Mus musculus: one gene and its partners. The main gene of each other region encodes a partner of the protein of the gene in region 2 in a complex. Links are inferred from orthologs where the notes say so. Each region holds a gene or a part of one and is shown on either strand. Other genes may lie near its edges. The genes, in order: Washc1, Washc4 and Washc3.

Region 1 (10,247 bases), on a different chromosome or scaffold from region 2:
TAAAGGGCTGCTCAGCATTGCAGGATTGGGAAAGGCTGCCCAGCCTCAGGCTGCAGGTTATCTCAGGATCCTGGCAAATAGAGGGGAAGCCCGGCTGCTGTAGCTGCAGCCCCAAGGACTATTCAAAATGGTCTTGGATTCTGCAGACAATGAGCTAAGGGGCCTTTGCCCAGGTATCTCTCCCCCCTCTCCAGCCCTGTTGTGATGTCACCCTGCAGTGACAGACCCTGTGAGTCTGATATTCTGAGTGTTCTGACTCGGCACCACAAGCCAACAAGGATTTTTCTACTCCTTTAAGTGGCTGGAGACAGGCTGAGAGATACAATGTGAAAGTTGAAATTAGGTTTGTTATAGACCCCTTTCCCACTGGCTTAACTAAAAACAGGGCACAACGCCTTTCCAAAGCTCCCTGAGAGTCAAACCCCCACAACTCTGTTCAGCACAGAAACACTGTATCAACCCCATAAGACAACCAGACTGAGAACTCTGTCGATCCCAGACCCAGGAACATGTGACCTACAGAGAACTCTTCGGGGACCAAGGCAAGAGAAAGCTGGGGGTTCTAATGAGAGCCAGTCATGGGCACCCCATCTGCACTGCCTACCTGTGTGGGCCATGCTGCTGCTAGAGTCTTCTTCCCTGGCAACCTGGCCAGCAGCAGTTGCCATGTCAGGGAACATCGGTGGCTGTGGGGTACTGACCAATGCTGTGGGAGCTGGGGGAGGTGGCGGCGGTGGGGGAGGAGGCGGGGGCGGTGCTGCCAACAGTACTTCATTCTCTAGCTCTATGAGGAAAATGAGAATGCAGTGTGGGTTGAGGAAGAACTCAGCAGGGACTGCCTGGCTCAGTTCCATCCTCTGGAACCTGGCTTACCTGGCTGGAGAGGTTCTGCCACCTCTGTGTGGAAGGCAGGCAACTCTGGGATAGCACCAGGAGCAGACGGGGCAATGCCAGGGCCCAAATCCGCACTGTACATCAGGTCGTCTGCGACGCCGGGTAAATCGGGTAGGTAGGATGGCACGTCGATCTCAGGAACCTGGCCCAGGTCTGGCACGTAGAAGTAGTTTTCTGGAGCCTGCAGGGACAGGTGGTACAGGAAATGGGATGGCTCTGCTGGAGCACGGGGCCCACACTGAGACCGTGGGGCAGGCAGCACACATGGACCCACAAAGCTGGGTAGACAGAAGCTTAGTAGAGCCCTCCGTGGAATAGGACCACTAGCCTGCCTAGGTACCCCCACACCCACCTGCCGCTCCAGCTGTTCTGTCTGGCACCCCCACACCTACCTGCCGCTCCAGCTGCTCTCTCTTGCTGATAGACAGAGGGGCATCGAACAATTTCTCCTCCTCTGTGCCCAGCATCGTGTGCGTTTTTGTTACTGCACCAGCCAGAGGGTCCAGGAAAACATACTTCTTATACCTGTGGAGTGGGCTAGGATCGGGAGGCTATCCCCTGTCCCGGGTCCAGGGAGGTTCCCGACCACCCCTCCTACTGCACTGGGGAAACATTTCATCCTTTGGATATCCACTCATAGAAGCCCAAGCAAGTCCTGAGGACTGCATCAGGCTCAGGTCCCCGAAGCTACTTAAGCAGGGTTCCCCTCCCTCCCTCCGTCCCTCCCCTCTTCCCGCTAGCTATCTCCTGGCCGTACAGATTCTCTGTGGTGTTGAAGAGCAGCAGGGAGCTGATGGAGCTGATGTTGCTGGGAAGACCCCCAAGTCCCTCCTCAGCTTCATCCTCAGGCTCCGACTTGGTGTTCACACACACGGGAAAGTATTTCAGCTTCTCCTGAGGCAGGATCAGAGTGGATGAGTGTCAGTCCTATGCTTAGTGACCGAGCACCATCCTGACCATAATCCTTATAGGGAACGAAATCTGTGGTCAGCCTTCATTCCCTGCCTCCCAGCACCCATGGCATCCAGAGGAACATGCTGGTAGCTTTCAGACCTGCAGAGCCCGCTCATCCAGTGGGCGGTGCTTGCTCTGGATCCTGTAACGGGGTCTTCTCTGCAGACCAGGGTCCAAGGCGCCAGTAAAGATGGAGCCGTATTCCTGCAGGTGCTCTGGTGCTGGGTACTTGGCACTAGAAAAGACCTGTGGGTACAGGAACTCTGGGGCCCAAAATATTCAAGACACCTTAGAGATCATATAGACGGGCACTAAAAGTGGGGTGGCCGTGGACGGGAGGAAAGTGAGGTGTGGCTGAACCGCAGGCGTATAGGAAGATCAATGCGCCAGCCACAGAGCACAGAAGTCATGGCCTACCTTGATGGCCTTCTTACTGCCCTTGATCTTCTCTATCTTAGCCTGGGCCAAGGAGACCCTCTCACTAATGGCCTGCAGCTGGCGCCGACTCAGCTCTACTCGTCGGGAGATCCTACCAAAGGAGAAATGTAGAGATTGAGGTTGGCTTCAGGTCCTGTGGCCCCTGTACACCTGTGCCAACATCATGCCTGAGCTTTGCCAAGCCCTGCCGTAAGTGCTCAATGCAATATAGCCTGCCTATCTGGCTGGTCTTAGTGCTGTTGTTCACGTGACCTCTGTCTGCCCACAGGTTATTTTATCATAGCAACAGGGAAAGTAAGCACCACAAAGGACAAGAGGTCAGAGGTCCTCTGAGTATGACATTTCTACCAAGGCTCTTCAGGGGAATAAAGAGATGGCCAGGAGAGTTTCTAGGTCCCCTGTACTGCGTCTCTGAACAGGACCCACATTCCCCATGAAGCCAGGTAGACCCAACCTCTGCAGGGCTTCACTGACCAGGCATCTACCATGAGACTGATGGACCACTTCACTGTCAACCCTCAGCCCATTTGTTCTCAGCTCCCCCCACAGAGATAACTGGTGCCTCTCCGCACTGTAGCAACCCCCTAGAGTGTGCTGGCGCTGATGAATGTCCTCCACTCTCTGACAGCTCTGTAACCTGCTAATAACTCAGACAAGACTTATTAAGGCTGACTCCTCTTGGAACCCTGTCTTCGCCAGGTACCACTCAGGGAGAAGGAGAAGCAGGGAGGAAGTAGAGACAAGGGAGAGGGTAAGGAAGTAACCAAGAGAGAGGGAATGAAGCAAGAGAAAAGGAAGGAAGAGGCAGGAAGAAGGGTGGAAGAGAGCAGGAGGAGGAACCGGCTGGGGCTGTGCTGGTCAGAATATCCACATAGTCACGGACCCTGCCTAGCTCCCCATGGACATCGATTCTGACTCCGTAGCTCTGGGGGACAGGTCACATTCTTGTGCAGGTATCTGAGGACATGGGTTCCCTACATAGAGAAAGGGCAAAGGGAAAAGTCCCACCCCACCCCCCACCCCACCTCCCGTTTGGCCAGTAGCATATAGCACAGCACATACAATTATGTAGGACACACTTAGTAATGATAATGAATGAGATTCGCTGGCTTGTCTTTACTGGAGTGTAACGGCTACCATTATCTTACAGCATATTCCCCCTGCTTATAGAAGTCTGCTGTTACTGGGTCAATGCAGCAGCGGTTCCATCCATCTCACTTTCACTGTGTGTGTCTTGGGAACATCAGGAGACACCTGCCGTGGAGGACCAGACCACCTGCATCTGTGGGGCACGCTATCTTTTCCCCACAGGGACAAAGCCATCGAGTGATTCACTCCTCAGCACACAGCTGGAGTTAAGGAAGGCACAACAGTTCTTAGGCCTCTCTCGGCCCAGTCAGAGTTATGCTCTAGCTGAAGAGCAACACCGCCACTCTCGGATCTACAGCTAGACCGAAGCACAGGGCCCTGTGCACCTAGCACTGAGTCGGTGAAGGACGAGATCTGGTGGGGAAGAGTCTGGAAATGCCACTGCCACCCACAGGCCCGCAGGAATCCCAAGGGGCTCCATTTCACAGTGAGGAGGTGGTGAACTCTCAGGCTGGTCTTTTCCCTTATACCCTTCCCACACTGGGCATTAGTTGGGTCATTAAAGAAGTAGTTTGCAGAAGGTACAGAGGGCTGCAGAGAATCCCACTTAGAAAAGGGGTGGCCCTCTCTCAGGTCAGCGTCGTAGCGGGTCCCACCTGCTGAAGATGTCTCCAGAGATGTTCTGTAGGTACTGCAGGGCATCTGCCACTTGCTGGATTGCCTCCTCTCGTCGCAGGTCGGGCTGGATGAGGGGCACTGCATAAAGCTGGCCCGCCAAGGAGCACTGGGTCTTCACCGGTGTCATGATGCCTGTGAGAAGGAACCAAGACGTCAAGAACACAGCCCCACACTCACCCCTCTGCCTATCAGCCATACTAGCACCTGAAGAGACAGAAGCAAGCTTGTTGTTCAAGGCCATCTTCTGATACAGACAGTTCAAGACCAGCCCGCACTAGATGAGAAACTACCGACGTGATAGGTAGAGAGAACCCACTTCAAAAAGCTGTCCTCTGACCCTCATATAGTTGACAAGACACACACGTATCTGCACAACATATATATGTTGTACACACAAACACACACACAATAATTAAATAAAATTTTTTGTAGAAAAGTCTCCATTACTCTTTTTAGGCAAGGCATATCCTAGAATGAGCTCTGGTGTAAGAATCAAAATTAGGGGACTGGAGAGGTGGCTCATCAGTTAAAAGCACTGACTGCTCTTCCAGAGGTCCTGAGTTCAATTCCCAGCCACGACATGGTGGCTCACAACCATCTGTAATGGGATCTGATACCCTCTTCTGGTGTGTCTGAAGGCAGCTACAGTGTACTCATATAAATAAAATAAGTAAATCTTTAGAAAAAAAAAAGAATCAAAATTAATGGTGACATTGTTTTATCTTTATTCAACTTATTTTCCAGTGTAAAATATACTATATCGCCACTACTAACACTAATTACTATTTGTAACTAACTATTCTTTTCACTAGCTAATAACAGCTACATACCTACAGAGCAAGTCTGTCAGTCCACCTCATTTCAACTACCATCTTCCTTCTCGCAGTGTCTGTGAATTTATCAGTGCTCCCAATTTTAATTCAGGAAATTTGGCCAAACAACATTTTCAACAGTAAAATACTTACCTTGTGCGTCATACTGGCTGCGAATCAATTATCTAATTCAAAATTGTTATCAATCAGTATGTTTGGTCATTTCATACACAAAAATGCAAACCATTTTAAGATCTGTGTGTGTGTGTGTGTCCCCTAACTGACAGACATCTTGCTTGATACCCTGCCCTGTGTTTACTCAGGGGGTCCTGATGTGAAGAGAAAGACAAGAGATTCTGCCCTGAGCCCCAGCTTCATACAGCATCGTTGCTCATGTTCACAATAAACTCTGGAACTAGGCATCGCTATTGCAAAGACGTTGATGGCTCTCACTGGAAAAGTCTGGAGTGTCACCGTGCAGGACACTCTGAGCACTAACCATCTCCACTGGGACAAGTGTCACTTCCAAAGTGAAGTTCAAGATAGGCCTGTGGACTACTGACATCCTTTCATGGTGTGGGTCATGTTCTGCCCCTCCCCTCTGCACCTTCTGCCCGTTATATACAATAATTCTGCCCTAAGTGCACAACACCTAGTAACCTCAGTGTCCATACTAGTAAGGGGGACTCATCATCTATGCAGGGGGATTTTCTGGTGATTCTGCTGCTCTGGGAACCCCGCATTCTGCAAGTAAACCCAGTAAACTCAGGGGTTCCCCCAAGGAACCCCTTTGATGGACTTGTACTTTGGGTTGTCATTTGGGGCCCTGTAAGGAGTGGGTAGATGCCTGTTTTCGGTCCTGCCCACAAGGGGAATTTTCCAAACCATCTAAAATGGATTGAAGGCCACTCTACTTGTGGGGGGAAATAATAAATAGCTCAGAAGTAAACGTAATTTACTGTAAGTCGTGAGTTTTGTTCTGAGACAAAAATAATTCCTCCCTCCAGCAAATGACTACAGTTCTACCTTGGCCTCCAATCGTTTCTGTTTATTTTTCACTTGTCATGCATGCCATGAATACATAAACATTCCTCTCTTATACATTCTTACACACACACATGCCTGTCAAGTATCTATGTTGACAGAGACCGTGCTTGTTGTTTAGCATAAGTGAAATGTTTCTAAGTGATCGGTGCTTAACCCAGATCACCAACCCCCCCCCCCCATATGTGCGTGTCACCAGTGTAATTCGTAATTTCGAAAGTGCTCAGCACAACCCACCCGCACCGTGCAAGTTGTCCTCCCACGCCCTGCTCCCCCTAATCTTCAGGAAGCCACGGGGCCTCTTCTCTGCAGCCGGAGCTGCAGGGTGTGGGAGGAGCGGCAGGCCGGATCCCTACATCGCCTTCCCGGTCCGTCCGGGCCCGTCCCGCCCGGGAGCCCTCACTCGCCTCCAGCCGGTGGGCGGCAGGGTCGCGGCCTCCTCCCGGTCCTGCGCTCCCAGTCCGCCCCTCGCCCACCCTGCACACTTACCCCAAGGCGGCGTCCTCACGTGAGCGTCCCCGCCCCCCGGTGACCCGCACTCCCAGGTCCTAGCGTCCACCACTGTAAGCTCGGCTCTCCGACTTCCGGCTCTCCGGGCTGCTGGTGGGCGGGGCCTAGACCAGGAAGCCGCCCCACACTCTGTGCTTAACCTTTCCTGTCTGGGAGATTCAGGTCTCTCCTGTTACCGGCTCCAAGAAACCCTCACACTACATATGCACTATATAGGACATCAAGTGGAAGTTCTCCAAACGCCCGCTCTGTTCCAGCCATGCATACTTCAGTGGCTTAATTAATCTTTTAGAAGATCCTACCTTTCCTGTGTTTACCTCTAAAGGTAAAGTCCCTTAGTCTCCAACTTAAAAAAAAAAAAAAAAATCAACGTAGAAGCGATCAGATACGGTATGATTTGACCTGGAGTACACAAGTTCTGCGTAGAAACAAACTGGAATATTGCTTACTAGGAATGAGAAAGCAGTGCTGTAGATGGACAGTCTGTGTGTGTGTGTGTGTGTGTGTGTGTGTGTGTGTTTTGAGAGTGTTGGGGGCAGATGAGTCTCCCCTACTACCGCATCCCTTATTCTAGTTTTCAGACAGCCTTCTTACCGGCAGCAAGCCAAAGCCGTAGGGCCAAAGAAGCCACAGACAGCCCACAGCTGATGAGCTCTTAGTCGGTCAGCAGCCACATAAGAATTGCTGACAGAAATCCACCCCACCCCACGGCCAAAAAACAGCTGGGAGCAGCACTAGGCCTGCAAAGATTGCCATAGCAACCAGGAAATGATTTTAAAGATGTATGTGTACAGGACCTGGAAAAAGAGCTCAGAAGTTAAGAGTACTAACTACTGGCGCAGGGGATCCAAGATAGGTTGCAACACCCACTTTGATCTACTCAGTCACCTGTAACTCCAGCTTCAGCATGATCCAGTGCTCCCTTCTGTCTTCTTTGGATACCCTTACACACACACACACACACACACACACACACACACCACATACAGGAAGACACAGTGGGCATGTCCAGGATCCTACATATTGCCAGGTTATGCAGGGTCTCTGTCAGTTAGTGTTGTGGCCATCTAATGTTGAAAGCAATGTGCCGTGGGGAAGTTGTGAGCTATGTGCTTGTGGGGGAGGGAGGGGCTCCCTCTTTGGCAGCTGGGGAGTCTTCTGGAAGGCAGAAAGCTCTTGCAAGCAGGGTTGGTAACAATGTGATAGGGAATAATCATACAAAGTTGTCCTGTCCTCTCGTGGGGTCTGGGGCAGTCCTCCTGCATCAGTCTTTACCATCTGAGGTCAGAGAGATGATGAAGGACTGGGTGGGTGCACAGCCTTCAGTGCCCTCACCCGGAGCCAATGCTGTTGTTGTGCCCGGCACACCTTCATCCCACTGTGGGAATGGGTTGGTTTAGGATCTCAACGATCGACAAGCTAGCCTCCCTAATGATGGTGAAATGTTTCCCTAATGGTGGTGACATGCTTCCCCAATGGTGGTGACATTCTCCTTTGCTTTCCTCCGGCTCCATGTTCAAAAGGTTTAAAGTTTGGTTGTTTTTTTTTTTTGAAACAATCATACTATATAGCCCTGGCTGTCCTGGAACTGGCTAAGTAGACCAGGCTAGCCTCAAGCTCACAGAACTCCACTGGCCTCTCTTCCCCAAGTCCTGGGATTTTAAAAGTTTGTACCTCCACACCGAGCTATATTTAGGTTTTTAAATTAATAGTCTGGTAACACACGTGCACGTGCACACGCCAAGACGTTTTGGCGTTTTTCTGGGAGATGTGTGTTCCCAGGCTGTTGTTCCCTAGCCAGAAAGTCATGGAGACTAGTTTATACGGGTGTCAAAACTGGGTACGGCTGTTGTTACTTTGGGTACCATTACAGCAGTTTCGATGGTGACATTGAAGGCATTCTGTCCTGGGTTAACCAATGGGAACACATCCCAGGGCTGTTCTTCCTGTCATCCCCAAGGAAGCAAACAGGCTTCTCTCAGCTCTCCTCTCTGATTGCAAAATGGTGTTCCTGCCAGTAGGCTATCCTGTGACAATCAGGCATGGACTTTTCTTTTCCAATCCAAACCCACTCTTTAGGAGGAGCCAAGTAAGCCTACCATCTGCTGTTTTGATAAGGGGATGGGAAGTGTGTGCACCCAGGCGTGGAGACCAATCACCTGGGCATATGGGGCAACTCACGTTAGGCACCTGAATCTCAGCAGATCATTCCATCTGACGAATAAGCCATGCTAGCCCTGCCTTAGCTTTTAAATGAGCGAGTTTAACAGGTAGCAGAAAAATATTAGAACAGCAGATAAGCAACTGGGGGCCGTGATCGGCAAAAAGTATCTGAGACAACTGGAAGAAGATGCTGGACATGTGTTGTTCTCCGTTCTGTTTTCAAGGTGTGATGGTCTGTATATGCTCTGCCCAGGGAGTGGCACTATTAGAGGGTGTGGCCCTGTTGGATTAGGTGTGTCACTGTGGGCTTGGGCTTTAAGACTCTTATCCTCCAGCACTTGGGAGGCAGAGGCAGGCAGATTTCTGAGTTCGAGGCCAGCCTGGTCTACAAAGTGAGTTCCAGGACAGCGAGGGCTACACAGAAAAACCCTGTCTCAAAAAACCAAACCAAACCAAACCAAACCAAACCAAGACAAACAAACAAAAAGACTCTCATCCTAACTGCCTGGAAGGGAATATTCTGCCAGCAGCCTTCAGATGAAGATGTAGAACTCTCAGCTCCTCCATGCCTGCCTGGATGCGGCCATGCTCCCACCTTGACAATACTGAATTGAGTCTTTGAGCCTGTAAGCCAGCCCCAATTAAATGTTGGTTTTTATAAGAGTTGCCTTGGTCATGGTGGCTGTTCACAGCAGTAGAACCCTAACTAAGACACATGGACACAGTATTTTTACTCTTGACTTGTTTTGGCTGTTCTGCCTCACCTTTCCCACAAGGTTGGAGGGACAATCCTGCATTCAGAGCTAGCTTCTCAGGGACTTCAAACAGCATGGTCAGCTTGATCTTTGTATCACAGTTGAGGAGATATGACCAATTCAGATGATAGTTTGCAAAATTGAGTTGAGGAGCACCGCTTTAAAGGAGCCTGTGGTGGTTTGAATAAAAATGCCCCCCATAGACTCCACTTCATAGGGAGTAGCCCTACTGGGAATTGTGGCCTTGATAAAGGAAGTGTGTCTCAGTCTCCTGCTGCTGCCTGCTGTACAGATGTTGAACTCTCTGCCCCCTTTTCAGCACCACATCTGCCTACCCTGTCACCATGCTTCTCGTTTTGTAATGGTAATGAGCTAAACTTCTGAACCTGTAAGACATCCCTAGTTTAATGTTTTCTTTTATAAGAGTTGCCTTGGTGGAGGTGTCTCTTCTCAGGGTCAGCTCTACTTCGCCCCAATGTGGCTTCAGTCTGACATCAGCCGCTGTTCTGTTGAACGTGTTCTCTGCCACCAGCCACCTGCTTCCTCCTCTGTTTGTCCCTGGTGTCTCCTCTGAAAATTGGCCGTTTTTGGTCTTTATCTGCCTTTCGCTTTCCTTGAAGACTCTGACCAGCATTTTTGTTCTTCAGGCTCTCCAGAATTCTAAAGCCAAGCCCTTAGCATAAGCCTGCCTTCGAGAGTGGGGCCAACCAAGGCTTACGCAACAGCAACATCCAGCTTCAATGTACATTTTGAAGGAATGGCAGGGCTGAGGCTACAGTAGCTCAGCTCAAGGGTTCCTCCAAGAAGCCCAATCTGTTCCCCCATTAGCACCGCCAGACACCAGCACTGGTAGAAAGAGTGAGGGCATAAGCTTAGAAACTATCAGACTTCATTTGCGTCTACACTGGGA
Region 2 (10,147 bases):
ATTTTAATGGCTTGAAGACTTTTTCTGTCTAGAAGTTTGGCAGCTGCTGGCATTTTATGAATCAGAAAATTATCAGGAAACCAAATAATATTAGCAGTTAAAGTGATGGCTGGCACCTGAAGGGAAGGAAAAGAAAGCAGACCCAATGATGCTGTGCTGAAGAGTGCTACAGCACACAGGGAAGGCAGCTCAGAAAACACAGTTACCAAAGTCTCAATGTGTTACAGTGTGTCTTCCCCTCACACTTATTGTAGAAAGAACAAAAGCATTCCCAATGGGTGGTGAGCACAGCAACTTTATTCTGCCTAAATATTAACACACACACACACACAGACATACACACAACAGATTTCACAATAATTAATAATATATAAAAAGCATGATGAAATTCAACCTTTCATAACATTACTGCCAGGGCATATTAATAAAATACTAGAAAAAAAATAACCTTAAACATAGCCAAGGCCTTATTGCTGTTATTATTTGATAGTACTAGACACAAACTAAGTTTCAATTCTGAAACTGGGTGTCCTATCATGGAAATAGCGAAGATGAAAATAACAATTTAATGAGGGCAAAGGGGACAGCCAAAGGAAGGAGGAGGCAAGGCCATGGTAACAGTACTGACAGGATGTTAACATGTCAGGGCATGGGTGCACTCCTGCAATGCCAGCACTCAGGAAGTTGTGGCAGAAGGATGGCTGAGACTGAGGCCAGACTGCACTGCACAGCAAGACCCTGTCTCAGAAAGAAAGCAAAGTTAATGTGCACACACACACTAAGTACACTCACCATATATATATGTGTGTGTGTATGTATGTATATATACATATATATATATATACATATATATGTATATATATGTATATATATATATATATATATATATATATATATATATGTGTGTGTGTGTGTGTGTATGTGTGTATGTATATGTGTGTGTATGTATGTATGTATGTGTATATATCTATATATATCTTGATATGAAACAGTTATTTTCGTTTATTGTATTTGCTCATTTCAAGGGTGTTTGTACTTTAAAACAATGCTACCACTGCTTTTATTTTTGCATGTGAATGTGTATTGTGTGCATGTATGCCTTCTCATGTGTGCGGGTACACACGTGTGCACACGTGTGCACTGAAACCTATGGTTGATATTAGGCGTCTTCCTCCATTTTCCTCCACTGTATTCATCCAGAGGCCTCTGACCCATGATAGGTAGTATCAGAAGTTAGAAGATATACCAGCACTGCTGGAAGTAAAGGCGGGCTGCCATGCTCGCACGGCATTACCTAAGTCCTGGAGGGAGGCTGGTTCCCAGTCCTCACGACAGACGGACGACAAGCACTAATCCTCCATGACCCACACACCTCCCCAGCTCTATTTTCTTTCTGACACAGTTACACTTCATAAAAAGTAAATTATTCTTTTTTTAACTTATTCTTTTTTAAATAAACTTTTATGTTAGCCCTTTTAAATATCTACCTTTATTAAAATTTACATTGCAAACTGAAAATAAGTTTCAAGTTCTTACCTTCTTACAAATGTCCAATAAAGACTTATAAAACTTTTTATCAACAGTCCGAAAAATCTGAAAGTGCAGTACAAAGAGCCCACAAATTCCAACATACTTGTCTCTCTGGTCAATTTCAGAAGGCTCACCTGATAAAGGAACACCACAGAAATACAACAGATAATAGATGACTTCTTAAGGAAATGTAAACTTGATAAATTAGTCAAAGAAGAAATTTATATTACCAAGCTTGGCTTCCACATTTGCAAAAATTGAGCGAATGCTATGTGCAAACTCTTCTGCAAACGTGCTATTTTTCGACACAGATATTCCTCCATTGAGAGAATCAAACTGCTGTTCGATACAGGCCTACACAGGAAACATTTGAACAGAAACTCAGACTCTCAGTAACAAGCTATCAACACCTTGGTGAGGTGAAACACTTCTGTAGTGGTTTTTACTATCAAATGTAGCTCTCGTGTCCTTTGATGGGATATGTGCATGTACTTATATGAGTGCCAGTTATAAGGCACTCACACCCCAAATGAAGAGACAGAATAAAGCTCAGAGATGAATGGAAGGAACCACGGCTGACACACTGGAAAGGAGGGTTTTGACTTTTTTGTTTTGTTTTGTTTTGTTTTTTGAGAAAGGGTCCATGTAGCCCATTATATAGACCAGGATGACTTCAAACTCAGAGATCTGCCTCCCAAATGCTGGGACTAACATTGTGTGCCACCTCTCCCAGCTGAAATCATTTTTAAAATTTTACGTGTTTGAGTGTTTTGCCGACATGTATGTCTCTGCACCATAGGCATGCACTGCCTACAGAGGCCAGAGAGGGTGCCAGATACCTTGAACCTGGAGTTGCTGATAGTTGTGAACCACCATGTAGGTACTAGGAATCAAACCCAGGTCCTCTTCAAGCCAGCACTCCTAACTGCTGAGTCATCTCTCCACATGCAACATCTTGTTCAGAGTGCCACCCTTTGGAGGTAGGTGTGTGTGTGTGCGTGCACAGGATCTCACTCTGTAGCCCAGACCATCCTCATATTTATGATAATCCTGTTAGACTTTTCCAATGCTAGGAGATAACAGGCACAGTCACTGCCCAGCTCCTCACATACTGCATGTGTAGAAATGTCCCAGGAAAAAAAAGAGCTAAAATAACTACATTTTGCATCTAAGGGATTACTAATTTTTATATCTAAGAGAGAAACTGATTTTAAAAAGAAAGAGCTGGAGCCAATCTGTCAAAACTGTGATAATATAAAAACAAAAGTCACACGAAGCAGACAGAGTAGACGGAATGGGATTTCTGGCAGCACTGTGAGGGTCTATCCATAGAATGAGGAGTAGTATGTTTTTACCTGGTTCCAGTACATTTTCATTTAGAAGGCACCCTATCTGTGTACATCCAAATCACACCCACTGGTGCAGGAAGAACTAACTAAGCTTTTCTATTGTTTGCTTTGGGTTCTGAGTTGTTCCTTTACACGGTTAGGAAGGACCCTGAGCATGCCAAGGAAGCGAGTGCTCTACCACTCAGCTACATCCCCAGCCCTTCAGACTTTTTAAAGGCAATCTTAAAAACCTAAATCTAGAAGCTAATAACAGACAATATTTAATGCAAATGATGCCTAGACTTTGAAACCCTTAGATTTTTGCCTTTGTTTTCTCTTGAGATGGGGTCTCCTATGCATCTCAGGGTGACCTAGAATTCACTTTGTACCAGAAGCTGGCCTTAGTTTTGCACAGCCTCCTGTGTGATGGGATTAGAAGGGCATACATCACCATGCCTGATTCGATTTTATATTTTTGCACAGTTTAATTTTTAAAGCCTTCATTTTAAGTAACTTTTTATTTTATTTATTACTATATATTGAGTTATGCTTTAATATACTAATAGTGGCTTTTTTAAAAAGCCAAAGCACTTTCTAAGGAAAAGAAATTCAAAAGTATTCTACAAAAGTGTCCTACTGTAGTTCTGATCTGCACAACCTCTAAGAACTCATATGCTGACCCTGATACAGCTCTACTTACCTGAAATATCATTCCATCAAGTAACTGCCCTTCCAGCTTCAGCAAGAACTTCTCAAAGGGCTTTAACTTTTCTTCCTGAATCCCAAATTTTGAAGGGTTGTGATGGACAGATTTCAGCAACCTTGTAGAAGATTTAAAGAAAGATCTTACATCTACCTAACAAATTCTTAAAAGTTAAAAATATCCCAGGAAAAAAATGTGTATGTGTTATTCTTACCCGGCTCTTCACACGGAAAATGTAAACAGAGCAACCCTAGTAAAATGTTTATCCTCTCTTTACCCCCTTACGTTCAATTGCCTGTTGCTCTGCATATACCAAACATCTAGTTACTATTTGTATGTAAACTGAATAGAAATGTAAAAGACTGTTCCAGCATTTTTAATAAATGTGTGGCACAAACCTTCACTTGAACAGAGTTCAGTGCAAAGAACAAATTATAACCATACTGCAACAGTTTGAGAACAAAAACCTACTACAAATGTGGCTGACTGCTCATGAAAACACTGGACAGGGCCAGAGAAATACTTGAGTGCTTACAGAGGAAACCTGAGTCTGGTGACTTACAACAGCCTATGACTCTGGTTCCAGGGCATCCAATCCCCTCTTACCCATGTACAGACACACATGAAACAGGGAGACATAAACACATATACATACACATAAAAGTAAATATTGGGCATGATTCTTTTTCAGTATAGAGCTCTAGGTCTTTTAAAGAATCAGAATTAGTATTCTAATTTTTACTACTAAAACTATCACATGAGCCGTACAAAGTAAAACAACTAAAAACATTTTGGTTGGCATACCTTTTGTACATAGTCCAGTGGTCTTTCAGCGTGACATGATTATCAACAATCTCATCCAGGGTAAGTAAAACTGTTAGCAGTTCTCCCAAGTGCTCATACATAGTCTGTCAAAAAACCTTTAATGATTATCATTTAGTCACTAGTTAGAAGTCTCATGTGAACTTTTAAAGAAAAACACATTGGGTTAATTATTAAATTAGTGAAAGGAGGGATCAATTGGTTTATTAAGATTCAGGTCTTACCCTCAAATGTACCACTAGCCTAAATCGAGTATATTTTGCCTAATATTTTCTCCATAATTGTGATGCTAAAGATTTGTTTGTTGACCACAGAAAACCTGCAGTGGAGCACTACTGGGGAAAAGTACAAGTGCCAGATCATAGCAAGTGATGGCTCATCAACTAGACAGACAACAGGGACAGAGACAGGGGTGGCATGCTAGCATTAGTATATGTCCTAATTGGTCAAATACCTAAGAAAAGTAGAAAAATTAACTCTTACCTGAAAATGAACTCCAGTTGTCTCTATAATTTTGGGTCCTATCCTATAATAAAATAACATCCAAGTTTAAATACAGGCTCTTAGAACTGTAGCATGTATTTGTCGTAAACTTGCAGGCACAAGCCAGAGCAGAGCCTGGGCTACCCTTGCTTGCTGTGCCATCATGGGTTAAAAACCTGACAACGGGCAGATGAGTAATCTTGCTTTTTAAACTTAAAGAATGTGCCTTGGCATCAAAGTAGAAGGAAAAACTTAATCAACTATTGGAATTTCTCGATTATCAACTACAATCTCTTACTCTATCAAAACTGGTGCTTGAGAAAAGACCCTTAAGCACATGTCAGACTCGTTCTTCAGTTCTCACTCTTACTGAGAAGCAAGGCATCAAACTTCTAGGGCTATACTACAATAATAAGCCACATTTCGTTCAACTTTATGTCCTATTTACGAAAAGTCACATAACTTTATGAAACAGCAGAGAACCACTAATGTACACAGGGGAAAACAAACACACACGAGTGGTTAATTCTGCATCAGCTCTTTTCTATGGTGAAAGGTCTTTAAAACTCTTTTGCCAATATTCTCATTCAGACAAAATCAGGTTCATAAACTTGGTGAGAACAAAATCTCAATTATCTGTAAGCACACACCTTAAAAAAGGAACACAACCTCCAGCAGTGTCTGAACATCCTAAGCATGTATACTGAGTACACAAATAATAAGTTGTTTCTATTAACTATTTTTCCAGAAAGTCCTTACTGCTATTTTATAAAAGCAGCCTAACCCTACGGCGCATTACTTGTTGCTGATGTACAGGGCAGCCAGCTGGTGGATGACATTCATCACCACTTCGTAGCACCTCGTCACAAAGCAGGACAGTTCCTGAAATGACATGGTGAGTACGCGTTACAAGACTGCTTTGTCAGTGTCGGGATATTTAGACTGGATGCTGTAACACAACCAAAGCTCTAGCTATCCAGCAGCCAGAGCTCAGAATCCCTCAAGCAATCAACACTTCTCTCCCCTCCTGCAGGCCAGGTCATTCCTCCCTCTGCTGCTCCTGCATTTCATGATTTCACCATTTTCTGAGTCTACTGTTTCAGTCACTCATGCAGCTCCTAAATGGCAGGGCCAATCATCCCTTCCCTGTAAGTGAATGAAGATCTGAAGAGTGACAATGACTGCCAGCCTACAAGTGTCACAAGGACAGAAAGCAATCTCCACAAGTCACTCTAAATCACTTCCCTTGTCATCTTTTGTTGTGTTTTTTTTTTTCAAAACAGGGTTTCTTTGTATAGCCATGGCTGTCCTAGAACTCACTCTGTAGACCAGGCTAGCCTCAAACTCAAAGTTCTACCTGCCTCTACCTGCCCTCTTCTGGTAAATCTGAGGACAGCTACAGTGTACTACTAATATACAGACAATAAATAATTCTTTAAAGAAATACATATATATATATAGCTTGGCACATACAAGTGCATATCACTTATCCCAAGAATATTTATCAATTATTATTAACTCAGATCTACCATACCTAGACTTTCTGACAATGTTTTTTAAAGCTCTCAACTTTTAGCCTTATAAAACAAATTTCCATCTAAAATACTTAAAACCTTATTAAACCTTCATCTATTCTAAACTGTAAGCCTTGAACAATAATATTCATTGCTTTTTTATGTGTTGGTCTCCCCCACCAACAAGAGCAGTTTGCAATACACACACACACTCTCTCTTACTTCATGGAATACATTAGATAATGTCTGGACAGTGAACTTTTTACACAGCTATTAGTGAGACCTAAACACAACTTAAAGTCTTTGAACTTTAAAGAGTTTTTTCGTACAGGTTTTTGCTATATAGGCCAGACTAGTCTTGAACTCATGATCCTAACTCATCCTTGTGCTGCAATACAGGCATTTTGAATGTGCTACCTAACAGCCTGTAATTTCAAACAGCTTGTTTTACATTTGTTATTAAACTTTCTGAAGGTTAAATGGTAACAGGAAGATAAAAAACAGAAAGCATGACAAAAAAGCAGAAATCAGTGCAGATACAGAAAGATTCCATGAGACAGAAACAGAAAAAAAAAATCAATTAAAAGATTGTCAGATGATTAAAAAAAAAAAACAGAATCCAGATCCAGCCATTTGCTCCTTTCCTTCAGATACCTGAGGAGCACCACTAGCTCCAGGCGCTGTTTTAAAGACACTGTGTTCTTGGACAATCAACACATAAGGCACTCTTACACACATACTGTGGCACCACACTGCTGTACAGAACATGACTACCTGAGGTCTTAAAGGAATGCAAGGAAAGGGACAACACTGAAAATATGAAAGAGTGGGCAAAGATACATTGAGAAAGCAAGCTGAAACACAGATACAGTAGCCATGTTACTGCCAGACAGAGAACACAGCAAGACAGTGCTAGCCTGTATAAGCTAAACACCCTGGTCTAAATGCTCCAGACCAGAAGTACTGCGGACTGCAGAGTTTTCTCCATTCAAGAGTATCTGCACATAGGTGATAAGATATCTTAGCCAGGGAATAGAAACAAATCTAAGCACAAAACTCATTTATACATATAGTCCATAAGTAATTATTACCTTGGGTTACAGAATTCTCCATTGGTGATGTTTTATTAGTGTTCAAACAATTTTAGGTCTTGTAGCATTCCACACTAGTGATTCTCAATCTATGTATATAATAGCCATTTGTACATAATTATGTATTATATACATAGTATCATAGCTTCATATCATCAAAGCTTTTGCCAATACAAGCAAAATAAGGGTCTCTGTGACATGGTGGGCATGCTAACTTGTCTTACTGCAGTGACCTTCTTACTGTCTAAATGTATTCCACTGTGAGTTACGTATGTAAATATATATCAATACCATTTACTTTTCTGTAAAAGGGGATATCTCACATAGGTAATTTGGTACAGAGAAGCTGAAGGCTAAATGAACCAAACATAAAGGCAAGCCAGAGGAAGCAGACTCCACCCCTACACCGAGGAACAGACAGGAAAAGGTCATGTCTGCTAGACTCTGGGAGCTTGGATCAGTAGCCCCTAGAGGATTACGGCACAATGGCCAAGAGCTCAATTTATTATACATACCGAATACAGTATCACCAACAGAAACACATATTTAATAAAAATTCACACTCACTGACTCTTCAAACCGCATTTCTGCAGCAGCCTTCCTATGGCAGCAGACTTGCTGTCAGGTCCTGACAATGTGACAGGAAAGCAGCAAAGGCTGTCCTTCCCAGTCTTTCCCTGTTTCCATCAGATAATCTACTAGTTCACCCCCACAGAGGCAGCTCACAACAGAGAGCTGGACCGCTTCTTTCAGCACTCTCAACCTAACCCAAACTGCTTTTCAGAGGTAGCTGCATCCGACCAGAGCCATGTCCTCAGAGGTGTGAGTGCTAGCTAGTTACATGCAGATTATCTCCCTAAGCTGCCAGACTTGATCTCACAAACATAACCATTTTTCTTCTGTTCCTAGATGAGGAAATGTGACCTGCTTCTTCCATAAGTCTTCACTATTTTGTTCTTCCAGCTTTCCCATTCCTGTGTGATCAACCGTGTGTGTGTGTGTGTGTGTGTGTGTCTGTGTGTGTGTCTGTGTGTGTGTCTGTGCTTGCGTGCACATGCAGTTTATAATAGCAGCAAAGATAATTCAAAAAAGTCTAGTTTCTTTCTCAAGCATGTGTGTATGTGTGTGCCTATATATGTGTGTGTATGCACCTGTGTGTGCAGGTGCCCATGGAGACCATAGACATTGGATCCCTAGATTCATCTAAGTTCCACGTAGCTATGAGCCCCCAGTAAGGGTGCAAGTAACTGAACTGGGGTCCTCTGCAAAAACAGTACATACTCATAACCAATGAGCCACCTCTACCACACAAAAACAAAATTTTTAAAAATTTTATTTTACTTTTATGTGTATGGGTCTTGTTTGCATATATGCCTGTATACCAAAAGAGTGCCTAGTACCCAAGCCAGAAGAGAGTGCTGGGTGAATCTCTTGGAAATCGAGTTATAGACAGTTGTGAGCCACCATGAGGGTGGTCAGTTCTGGGAATTAAACCCCAGTCCTCTGGGAGAGAAGCAAGTGTTCTTAGTAACTGAGCCATTTCATTTCTCCGTCTCCACAAAAATCATCTTTACATTTAAAAAAGATTATAAACTATCCATAAATGAAATTATACAAGTTACATACAAAGGATAATATATTAAAACAATTTCTGAATTGTTCAGGTCTCCTGATACCTTATTCCCCAAAAATTCCTCATAGATCATTTACGAGTTATGATCTCCTACACTGTAACCTCATGCTAAGTAAATGGTTCACTCTCAGAAGACACAAGACCTCAGAAATTGAGGGTTCCAGAGCCTATAAATTATGTGTAATTTTGATGAAAAAATTTTAAAAGCTCAGCCATGAATAGTGGTACAAACCTTTAATCCCAGAATGTGAAGAAGCTGAGGCCAGGTGAATCTTTTACAAGTTTGAGGCCAGCCTAGTCTACAAAGACAGCCAATGCTATCTAGTAAGACCCTGTCTCAAATAAGTAAACAAATGGTTTGAGAGATAGTAAAAATCAGTTCCCTTAAAGAGATTAAAAGAAACAAACAAACAAACAAAAAGGAGTTACCTGTAAGAATGAAACGAATCTCCCCATTTGAATTTGGCAGTCACCTTCCACCATGCTGGAATCTGTAGCTTTAAAAAGCAGCAATTTTACTTCAGGCTTTTTATTTAAATTCAACAACAAAGACAAAAGATAATATTCTTTCACTCTCACACAGTACTAAATACACTAGACTTTTACACTAAAGAGAAAAATGACATGTCATGAACTAGTTACACCTTCAAACAGCCATTCCTCCCTGCCAAGCGGACCCAAAGCTCTGTCCACACAGGACTTCCTCACTGACCATCCATGGCCCCAGAGAATGTGCTGCTGCCTTGCCATTCCATTCCTCACTTGTTTAACCAAACCAGTAAACAACAAAGAAGCTTTAGCAGCTGGAGATGGCTTGGCAGCTAAGAGCATTTGGCTCTTCCAGAGGACCAAAATTAGGTTCACAGCACCCACAGAGTAGCTCTGTGAACGAACACACACACACACACACACACACACACACACACAAGCATAAATAAACTATTTAAATGTGTTGGCTGTTTCTCTATACACTCTACAGTCATGTGAGTTCTAGAATAGTCTTTTAGCTTTCTGTTCACTAGTTTCTTAAAAGGGAACAACAA
Region 3 (10,162 bases), about 4.6 Mb from region 2:
ACCCCAGTGGCCCCAGATGGCTAGTACCACTCATTATCTGTTCAGATTTCAGAATTTCAGACTTCATGCCTGGCCCACTTGACACTAGGTGAACTCTACTGGTCTAAATCTCCAGATCAACCCAAGATTCAAGACAGCCCAAGGGTCAGGATACTCCTCATAGACTCCGTTTCCACCCTCAATAGGGCCATGATGCCCAGACTCAGCCTTTAAACTAGCCTCTGGGAATGCAGGTTCTAGGTCTATCTTACATTCTAATTCAGCCCAGAGCCAGGCAGACCACACAACTTAAGCTCCAGGTTTATGTCTCTGTCTCTGAGTCATCAGAATGACATTCACGAACACAGTGGGGCCATTCCCTCCAGTCTCACTATCCAGTCTGACTACAGAGCTTCAGGCTCTGATGGACTCAGCCCAGAACAACCTTCCCAGACCTACGATTCAGGCCAATATATGCAGTCCCTGGTTAGTTTCCACAACTCCAAGTTCCAGCCCTCTAAACATGTGGCCCATAGAATCAGCCCAGCACCCATTATCCCATACTATAGACCAAGCTTGTGGATGTAGGCACTGTACGTGGTGGCTAGTCCGCGGAGCTAGCTACGCAGACTCAGAATCCAGGTAAAACCTAAACAGACCCTAAAGCCCCCACAAACTAAGGCTCTCAGAAGACCCCTGCAGATGCAACCACCAGATTATACAGAGTGGACTGGATCTACCCTCTCAGATTCAGGTTTCCAATACATCCCAGAGGGTACAGGACTGGCCAGGTCCACAGCCTGACTTTGTAAACTCAGGCTCAAGGCCAACTACAATTCCAAATCAGTCTCTGTAGACTTGGTATGTAGGATGGCTTCTTAGAGACCAGACTCTAGGTCTTTCCTTGCAGATCCACATCCAAGGCCCACCTCCTAAGCTTCTCAATACATCCATCTCACTGGATCTAAGCTCAATGCAGAACAAAGGGTGTGAGATCTGTATACCAAATGCTATAAGACATCAGAGAAATCAGACAGAAATAAATGCAAAGACATCCTGTGTTCATGGGTTTGCAGAATATTGCTAAAATGTACAAATGACCTGAAAATGGTTTATAGATGTAACATAATCTCTATCAAAATTTCATTATTTCTTACAAAAGTAGAAATTGTTTCATATAGGAATGCACACACACACACATACATATACACACATACACACACACACACACACCATACAGACTCAAATATCAACAGCAAATCTAAACGAAAAGCCTAACTAGAAGCATCACATGACCACACAGAGATGGAGCTTATACAGGGCTCACTAACAGAGACTGTCGTTCACCAAGGCTGACCTGGTTACAGCGGCTGCTGAGTGCCAGCAGCTGCTGAGTACCGGAGACCAACAGCGAAGCCCTGGCAGGCACCATTGCCCTGGGTGACCAGCCAGTCACCTGATGGAAGGGCTACTTCACTGGGCTTCTTTCTTCCTGGAGAGCTCACTGCTTTGTCGTTACTGGAATAGATACTTCTTCTGGCCATGGATTTGCCATTTCTGCAGGTATTGTCTCTGCCAAACTACCACTAGTGGACTCAGAAATGCCATCTCCACCATCACAGTGTTCCACACAGCATCCTTCTGACCCAGGAACTCACTTCATAGCCAGAAACGTGCAGCCATGGGTCCAGGCTCATGGAACTGGTCTTACCATGGTCTCTATCATCCTGAAGCAGCTGGCCTGAGAGAAGGGTAGAATGGCCTTTTGAAGACAGAGACAGCAACGGTGAGGTGGTAGCTGACTGGAAGATGGAGGCAGGCTTCTCTAGAAGGTAGTATATGCTTTGAATCAGCACCTAATACTTAGTACAGTTTCTTCCAGAGCTAGGATTCATGAGTCCAGGAATCAAGGGGTGGAAAAGGGAAGGGCTCCACTCACTACAGCCCCTACCTAGTGACCCACTACAAGAAATTGTGCTTCCTGTTCCTATGACTCTAAGTTCTGCTAATGTCGGACTTCAAAGACTGACGGCAAAGCTATACAGACCAAAACAGGATGGTACTGATCAAAACAGGCTGTGGAACAGAATAGGGTACCCGAAATAAAGCCAACCATTTATGATCCATTGATTTTCACAGACATGCCAAGAACACACAATTGGAAAAAAAAAAAAAAGACAGTTTTTCCAATAAGTGGTGTGGGATATACATAAGCCAAAGAATACAAATCAGAGGCTATTACACACCATGCACAAAAATCAACTCAATATGGACAGAACAGTCGCACGTAAGGCCTGAAACTATAAAACCAAAATCAAACTCAAAAAACAGAGCAAAGAACAGAGTAAAAGATCAGCGGGGGGATGGGAGAGGTGAGGGGCCTGGAATGGTATTGCTCAAAGGCACGGAATCTCAGGAGAGAAAGTTCACTGGGTTCACTGTACACTATAGTGACTGCCGCTAACAACAAAGGACACTCTCAATCAAGAATGATGAGACCACAGTGGGGCAATGGTGGCTCACGCCTTTAATCCCAGCACTCGGGAGGCAGAGGCAGGCGGATTTCTGAGTTCGAGGCCAGCCTGGTCTACAAAGTGAGTTAGTTCTAGGACAGCCAGGGCTATACAGAGAAACCCTGTCTTGAAAAACCAAGTAAAAAACAAACAAAAACACCACAATTTTCATTCTTTCCACACATAGCAAAGTAAGTGAGGCAGCCCGCATGAGCTTAGATATTCTATAGTGGGCACAAGAACCAAAACAGCACGTTTTACATCTGAAAGACTTTGTAATTTTTACTTGTCAAAATGAATACAAAAAAGAGCGAAAGGGAGTAGGCTAACTTTGTATGATCTGAGCTTTTTATCCAACACCACTTTTCTCTGGAGTTCAGGGAAACACTAGGAGAAACGGACCAATTGTGGGGAACGTCAGGAGTGTGAGAGCTGAGGGGAAAGTGTGGTTCTGAAGGCTCTGCTGCATTAGTGCTCAGTGAGGTGACACCTGCCATCTTTGATCCTGGTCGTCAATAAGCAGACAGCGGAAACTGAGGGGACTACAAAGACAAGGGGTTATCCTCACCCCAAAGCAGCTTACAGCAAATGGCTTTTCTACTCATTTGCTAGTTTTATTTACCTCAAAAAGGGCAAGCGCACAACCATAGAAAATGAATATCTGCTTTCTTCTGCTAGAAGCTCAGTCTTTATATACTCTAACCTAGCATAAAAAGGGTAAAAGAATTCATATAAGAATGGAAAGGTAAAAAACCCCTTTACTCAGTGGGTTCCTTATCCTATTTAGAGAAGCAACTGTGTGAGAGAAATACCGACAGGGCAGACGGCTCTGCAGCTGAGAGCACTTGGGCAAAGGACCCAGGACTGAGTGCCTGCACCCACAGCGAGGCTCATAAGTGTCCATAAGTACAGTTCTAGGTAGCCTTCAGCATTCTTCCGACCTCCATAGGCATCAGACATACATGCAATCAAAACACTCACACACATATCATAAAATAAGTACATCTTAAATGTTCTCATAAACCAAAAAGAGAAGAGAAGAAGTGAGGCCTAGGAGCAAGCACCAGTCTTGGGGCTGTTCAAACACAAGGCACGCAGAACTGGGCTCCTTACTGCATCAGCACATGTTTTACTTTCATTTGTCTCAGTGGAAAAGCTGAAGGAAATCTGATAAAGAAAGAAAGACCACGGCCGGGCTGGGGGTGTCGGGGCAGAGTGCATGTGCGGAGCATGTTCAAGGCCTTAATCACAACCCATCATAAACAGATCAAACTGTACTCAAACCAGAAGCTTCCTGTCTCTGGGCAATTCCGATGAACAGCCACACATTCAGCAATCACCGTTTTCTCAACGATAAGCCTCACATATGACAATATAAGAAAACAGGATATTAAATCGATCCGGCTGTGACTTGTCTATAGGTTTCTAATTTGTTATTTCCTTTCTTAAATTCAGTTTCAATATATATTCCCCATTTTCCTCTAAAATAAACAAAAAACAAAACTTTTTGCAAGCTCAGGAGAGGTTCCTGGACCTGGCACCTAATTCTTATCTATGTACTTAATTATCACTTCATGATGTATCCAGTTATTTGCAGAAAAGTATTTTTTGAAACATGTATCTCTAGGCTGCCTCCATGAATCCTTTTTGGCACAAAGGATGGAAAGCAATTCGATATAAACTCGAACATACATTTAAAATGTAATCTCTAGAATAGGAAGATGAAACAAAACCTTTCAAATAAAAAAAAAATTCCACTGTGAAATTCTGGAATTCCCTTTGTTATAATTACAACAAACTTGGCTGAGCTATCTCATGGAAGCTTCTAGAATACTAATTCAGTTGAGACAGCGCACAGGACTTATGGGGACAGAATCAGAGATGCTAAGGCCTTAAGACATTTGAATTTCATGGCAAAGTGAACACACGAAGGCTGTAATTCTTGTTTGACTTCATTTGACTACATTTGTCACCACGAAAGACGGAAGGCGACTTCTCGGCCGCTCCATGAAGTAGTAGCCCGGGACCTACCTCCTCACAAACTGCGGAAAACCGGTTGAGAAACTGCACAGTGTGCACCACAAACTGGTTTAGAAAGGCCACGGTTCTTTTCTGTTGAATAGCTGGCACCTGTGTCATGTAAAAAAGCAAACACGATTCTTACAGGAGAAACACACTCTCTGCAATCCTTTGGATATCTGGATTTCATAGAGGGGGATGGATGGTCTTTGCCCTGGGACATGTGGTTCACGAAGGGCTAAGAAGAGTCGCTGATTTGTTTTTCTGAATCTTGTGTGAGTCAAACACACACACACACACACACACACACACACACACACACACACACACACGAGCAGCTAGAGAGTCGAATAAGAGGTGAAGTGTCAGAGGTGGTACTATCTCCAGACTGTCAACCTCGGGCGTAGAGACACGTGATGTGGGGAGCAAAGGCTGCGTGGCACACCAATTCTTTTCTTAGCCCAGGAGGGACCCCTTTCAAAGTGGACTGCAGGGCTCCCCCCATTGCCCAGAGTAGGAAAACAGGGGCCCGGATTGGGCCTGGAGAGGTGGCGTCTCCCTGGGAACCAGGGCCCCTTGGCCAAGCCTCCTTCCCTGTTTGTCGGACGCTCAAGTCGGTCTTTTACAAACCTTGGTCAGGTCTATGCCTGACCCCATGAGAGGAAGCCCATCCTCATCCATCTCCTCAGCGGATGGGGACCCCGGGGCTCAGGCACAAGCTCCTCCCAGCCCAGTAGAGAGCCCAGACTCCTTTCCCAAGTTCCTGCCTTCGGGGCCTTTCCGGAAGAAAGCGCGAGTGTTCACCATTCAATGGGTGGCTTCAGAGAGGCCGCCCCGCCCCCTCGCTCTCGCTCAGCATTCTGGGATTGGTAGTTCATGATTCCGATTGTAAAATTGGGCCGGGGAAAAGCTGCTGATGAGCAGGTTTCACAGTTGCTGTTTTAGCTGTAAAATCTGAAAAAATCTGAAAAAGAAAAGGGGGTGGGTGGGTGGGAGTGGTGGAGTGAGGGAAAGAGACGGAGAGAGAAATAGAGAAAGAGAAACAGAAAGAGACAGATTCAGACAGACAGAAACAGGGAGACAGACGCAGGGTTGGGATGAGGTCAGACTGGGAAAGTTAGAAGCTGAGCTGTATCCGTTTTGAGATTTTAATTGCTTAGTCCTGTTACAAAACAAACAAACAAAAAAAAGATCCATAATTCACTGAAGAGCACTTCTCTTTTTGTGTAATCCTACTAAGTGCCAGATACTCTGTTAGCCCTTGTGAAGTCTAGAGAAGTCTGTCAGAACTTGTCTTCAGCCCTGGCAAGCCTCATGCACTGGAGATCCGTTTCTAAGGGTGTTTGTTTGTTTGTTTTGACATAACATAATTTCAAGCAACAACTGAGACACACAGCTGTGAAAGTGACTGCACTTACGTCATGTAAACGATCTTACACCTACAGTATGAAGATTTTGGTTCAGAGTTTGGCTGCACATTTTACCAGCGATGTGAGTTAGGGCAGGTCACCTAAGCAAAAGTAAACCTTTTTATTGTACCAAAACAAGTACTGAAGAAGTGACAGGATCTCCTCTGCTACACTAGTCAAAGGGAGGACATGCAGAATTTTGATGTGCAAAAGTTAGATGGACGTGCAAACAAACTCCTGTGAAAGTTGTGGCATTGCAAATTAGCATGTACAAACACTTGTAGATCCACGAGTACATGCACACCACATGCAAAGTGTGCGGTTCTGTGGATAATAGGAGCTTCTAAGTTGTACAAGAAGAGGAAGCCGACTTTAGTATCTACTTAACATTAAGAGCAGTTAAGATGACAATCTGGAATAAACCTTTGTCCAAACAAAGGTACAGAGACATGAGGGCATATGGCGTTTAAGGCAAAGGAAAGATTGTTTGGTGGTGTAAGTAGAAATGCCCAGAAGTGGAGAATAATGAAACAAGGCAGAAGTAGACACAAAAGCTGACGAAGGGCCTTTTATGGCAGAAGAAGAGTCATGTTTTTCTGAATGGGATTCGTGAGCTTCTGTTTGGGAGTGCTTCTTAAAACGCCCACTCCAGGGCCGGGCGTGGTGGCGCACGCCTTTAATCCCAGCACTTGGGAGGCAGAGACAGGTGGATTTCTGAGTTCGAGGCCAGGCTGGTCTACAAAGTGAATTCCAGGACAGCCAGGGCTATACAGAGAAACCCTGTCTCAAAAAACAAAAAAACAAAAAAAAAACAAAAACAAAAAAACAAACAAACAAACAAACAAACAAAAAATGCCCACTCCAGAGGTTAGCCTTAGACAAGCCAAATCAGGATCTCTTTTGGATAAACGTGAATACTTGCATTCTAAAATGCCACTCCCTGGAAAGCTGTGTGGCTAGCATAGCCACCTTCTTCATTGATTGTTTCTAGGCCTTCATTGTGTTACCTGCAGCAATGCTTTTACTGTCAGGGTCTATGGGACTTCACTGACCAAAAGCTCTAAAAGAGGTAATCCATTCCTAGTTCTAGGCTTTTTGTTAGCCTGCAGTATCTAGCAGGGGCATTGTTGCCATGAAATAGGGCAGTTCCATTAAAATTATATATGCACATTGTATTACTCAGGGTTCTCTAGAGCCACAGTCTCTACATACCACCACTCCTGAATCTGGGACTTGCTTTGTCCCAGGCTGACCTTGAACTCAGAGATCTTCTTGCCTTAGTCTCCTAGGATTCATAGCCACTCTGCCTCAAGATCTCCATGCCAAGATCCAAGTCAGAAATTTGTATCTCCCAGCCTCAAGATCTGGGTCACAGGTGAGCCTTCCGATTCCAGATGGTAGTTCATTCCAGATATAGTCAAGTTGGCAACCAGGAATAGCCATTATAATCCACCCCTTGTCACTTGACATAAATAATATCTCATGTCCCCATGAAACAATAACAAGATCACGAATATGCATAACATAATATAACTATTCCTTGTAAAATTGCAAACGCATTTGTAAATTTACAATGGGGAAATGTCCCTTGGGAACGTTATTTTAGTATCTCAACGTAAATATCAATTGATATTAAATAAATTGGAAGAAAGCACAAATAACTACACAAATATGTTCTTAACAGAATAAAACAGAAGAATTCATATTACTTTATAATCCTTGTTTCTGCAACTGGTTATGTGGCCTTAGATGGTATTTATAACTACCTTTCTTTACTACCCATTCTGTATTTCCTTTACCCTCGGCAAGGACCTCAGCAGGTCTTGGCTCTTTTCTTGGAGGAGTGACCCATACCTTCATTTCTGATGGGTCTGTGTCCTTTGTCATCCAGCTTGGATTAGGCTGTTTTTGTTTGCCATTGACTTTAGTCACAGGACATGGTAGAACTAAGAGAAAACCTATGGGATCTCCTGCACTCCAGACATAATCCCTCTTACCTCCATTGTGGAGAGGTGATCCAATTTCTCCAAGGTAATCTGGATCTATCACCCCTCCTAACACTGTTATTCCTTTCTTAGCCTGTTGGGCATTAGAAGCCCAAAATGACCAGTGGAAAGTCCCAGCTCCCAGTTCAATGTAATGTTTGCTGTGGCTCCTGGTACAAAGCACTCCCCACTCCGAAACAAAAATTTTTAGGCCAGCAGAACACAGAGTTGTGGGGACAGGAAGCAAAAATTTTCCTAGAGGGTCACTAGGAGTGATAGTGAGTGGAACTATTCCCTTTTCCACCCCTTGATTCCTGAACCCATGGATCCTGACTATGGGGGAAACTGTACCAAATATCAGACGCTGATTCAAAGCATATACTGCCTTCTGAAGAATTCTGCCTCAGCCCTCATAGTTGCTGCTGCTACATAATTGGCGCTGTAACCGTGTCTTCAAAAGGCCATTCCATCTTTCTATCAGACCAGCTACTTCATGATGTGGAACATGGTAAGATCAGTGGATTCTATAATTGTGGGCTCGCCGTCACACTTCTCTGGCTGTGAAATGAGTTCTTTGGTCAGAGGCAATACTGTGTGGAATACCATGATGACGGATAAGGCATTCTGTCAGTCCACAGATGGTGATTTTGGCAGAGGCATTATGTGCAGGAAAGGCAAATCCTTAACTAGAAAAAGTATCTATTCCAGCAAGAGCAAAATGTTATCCTTTCCACAGAGGAAGTGACCTACCTGACCCCAGGTTGCTGGCTGGTCACCTTGATGAATGGTGCCATGTCTGGGGCTCAGTGTTAGTCTCTGCTGTTGGCAGATCTGGCATTCAGCAGCAGCTGTAGCCAGGTCAGCCTTGGTGAGTGGAAGTCCGTGTTCTTGAGCCCAAGCATAACCCCCATCTAGGTTACCATAGCCATTTTGTTCTTGTGCCCATCCAGCAACGACACGGCTGGCTGCAAAAAGAGGTCCTTTGTCCATTTGAAGAGATCTAACCACATACTTCTTCCCCAGATGTCTTTCTCACCAATTTTCCAGTCGTGATCTTTCCAAGTCTTTGACCATCCAGCCAATCCATTGAGCTACTTGAGATACATAGAAATCAAAATCATATCAGGTAGACTTTGTTCCATTTACAGAGCACAGAAAGAGTAGAGAATATAAATCTCAAGGGCCCTCGGTTTTTCAGAATGGTAAATTAGCATTGGCTTCAATGAAAACCCTCCAGCTTCTTTAATTCCTAACAAGAGAATCAGTCTGGCCCTGGAGGCTTTGACAATGGCATGGACATATCTCTGGCTATAAAAGTCTGACATGGCATCTTCCAATAGAAGGCTGTTCCCTCTGTGTTGAAAGCTGGTTGGCTAGCATAGCCACCTTCCTCACTGACTGTTTCTAGACCTAAGGGATATCTTGCTGCATCTTCTGCATCATCACTTGCTGACTTCATTGAACAACTTCTGCTAGCATCAAACTTGCCTTTCTTTGGTGGGGCCTTCCCCTGTCTCAATTTTCATAGAACTGAAGATGATCAAGACCTTGTTCTGGATTAGGCTTTGACTAAGGAGAATATGGTGGCTGGACTGACTTGCTATGCAGACCAATAGCTTTCTCCATATTAATAATAAAGCTTTTTTAGGTTGGTTTTATTATCATTCATATTAATTCCCTTCAAAAAGTTCTTCTCAAAAAGTTTTGTTTTTTACTTGCAAGTTTTAACAATAAGTTTTATAAAATCCAGTAAGTTATATCGTCTAAAAGCTTTGGCAACTTGATTGTTTGAGAGAACGGGAGTGGTTTGGGGCATGCCAGTGCTCTCTTCACACCTTCTTCACCATCCTTAACTCTTTTACCATTCGGTTTTAAATGAGATAGAGGAGATTCTTCGTTCACATGGGAATGTAATACACCACCATGTGTGAATTTACTGTTTTCATTTATTTTTTTGCTGTTATTTGTTTATTTTACAACCTGATCTCAGTCCCCCTCCTCCTGCCCCCCCCCCCGCCTCTCCCCCTCTCCTTCCCTGTGAGAAGGGAAGGCTCTCCTGGGTATCAACCCACGCTGGTACATCAAGTCACTGCAAGATTAGGCACATCCTCTCCCACTGAAGCCCAGTTAGGGGAATGGGATCTTCAGGGAGGCAAGGGTCAAGGACAGCCCCACTGCTAGGAGTCTCAGCCAGAGTCACCCCCATAGACTCCCTGGAGCATCCCTCATCTCAGGTCTCCCATGTCCTAGAGACATC

What was found.
Region 1: Washc4 (region 2) and Washc1 share a complex: the UniProt entries of both Homo sapiens proteins name them as parts of the WASH core complex. The link is inferred for Mus musculus from reciprocal best matches to the Homo sapiens genes WASHC4 and WASHC1.
Region 3: Washc4 (region 2) and Washc3 share a complex: the UniProt entries of both Homo sapiens proteins name them as parts of the WASH core complex. The link is inferred for Mus musculus from reciprocal best matches to the Homo sapiens genes WASHC4 and WASHC3.

Annotation. Positions count from the first base shown.
Region 1 is NC_000083.6:66,107,801-66,118,047, reverse strand, and holds the start of Washc1 (WASH complex subunit 1), read right to left. Parts: upstream 6,503-10,247; 5' UTR 6,399-6,502; exon of another isoform or gene 6,147-6,398; intron 4,186-6,146; 5' UTR 4,181-4,185; coding exon 4,032-4,180; intron 2,378-4,031; coding exon 2,266-2,377; intron 2,095-2,265; coding exon 1,948-2,094; intron 1,789-1,947; coding exon 1,652-1,788; intron 1,420-1,651; coding exon 1,287-1,419; intron 1,076-1,286; coding exon 874-1,075; intron 785-873; coding exon 605-784; intron 1-604. UniProt on the Homo sapiens protein: Acts as a component of the WASH core complex that functions as a nucleation-promoting factor (NPF) at the surface of endosomes, where it recruits and activates the Arp2/3 complex to induce actin polymerization, playing a key role in the fission of tubules that serve as transport intermediates during endosome sorting.
Region 2 is NC_000076.6:83,550,335-83,560,481, reverse strand, and holds part of Washc4 (WASH complex subunit 4), read right to left. Parts: intron 9,602-10,147; coding exon 9,534-9,601; intron 5,749-9,533; coding exon 5,666-5,748; intron 4,910-5,665; coding exon 4,867-4,909; intron 4,482-4,866; exon of another isoform or gene 4,470-4,481; coding exon 4,366-4,469; intron 3,680-4,365; coding exon 3,559-3,679; intron 1,885-3,558; coding exon 1,761-1,884; intron 1,665-1,760; coding exon 1,537-1,664; intron 117-1,536; coding exon 1-116. UniProt on the Homo sapiens protein: Acts as a component of the WASH core complex that functions as a nucleation-promoting factor (NPF) at the surface of endosomes, where it recruits and activates the Arp2/3 complex to induce actin polymerization, playing a key role in the fission of tubules that serve as transport intermediates during endosome sorting.
Region 3 is NC_000076.6:88,196,272-88,206,433, reverse strand, and holds the start of Washc3 (WASH complex subunit 3), read right to left. Parts: upstream 5,338-10,162; 5' UTR 5,193-5,337; coding exon 5,142-5,192; intron 4,623-5,141; coding exon 4,524-4,622; intron 1-4,523. UniProt on the Homo sapiens protein: Acts as a component of the WASH core complex that functions as a nucleation-promoting factor (NPF) at the surface of endosomes, where it recruits and activates the Arp2/3 complex to induce actin polymerization, playing a key role in the fission of tubules that serve as transport intermediates during endosome sorting.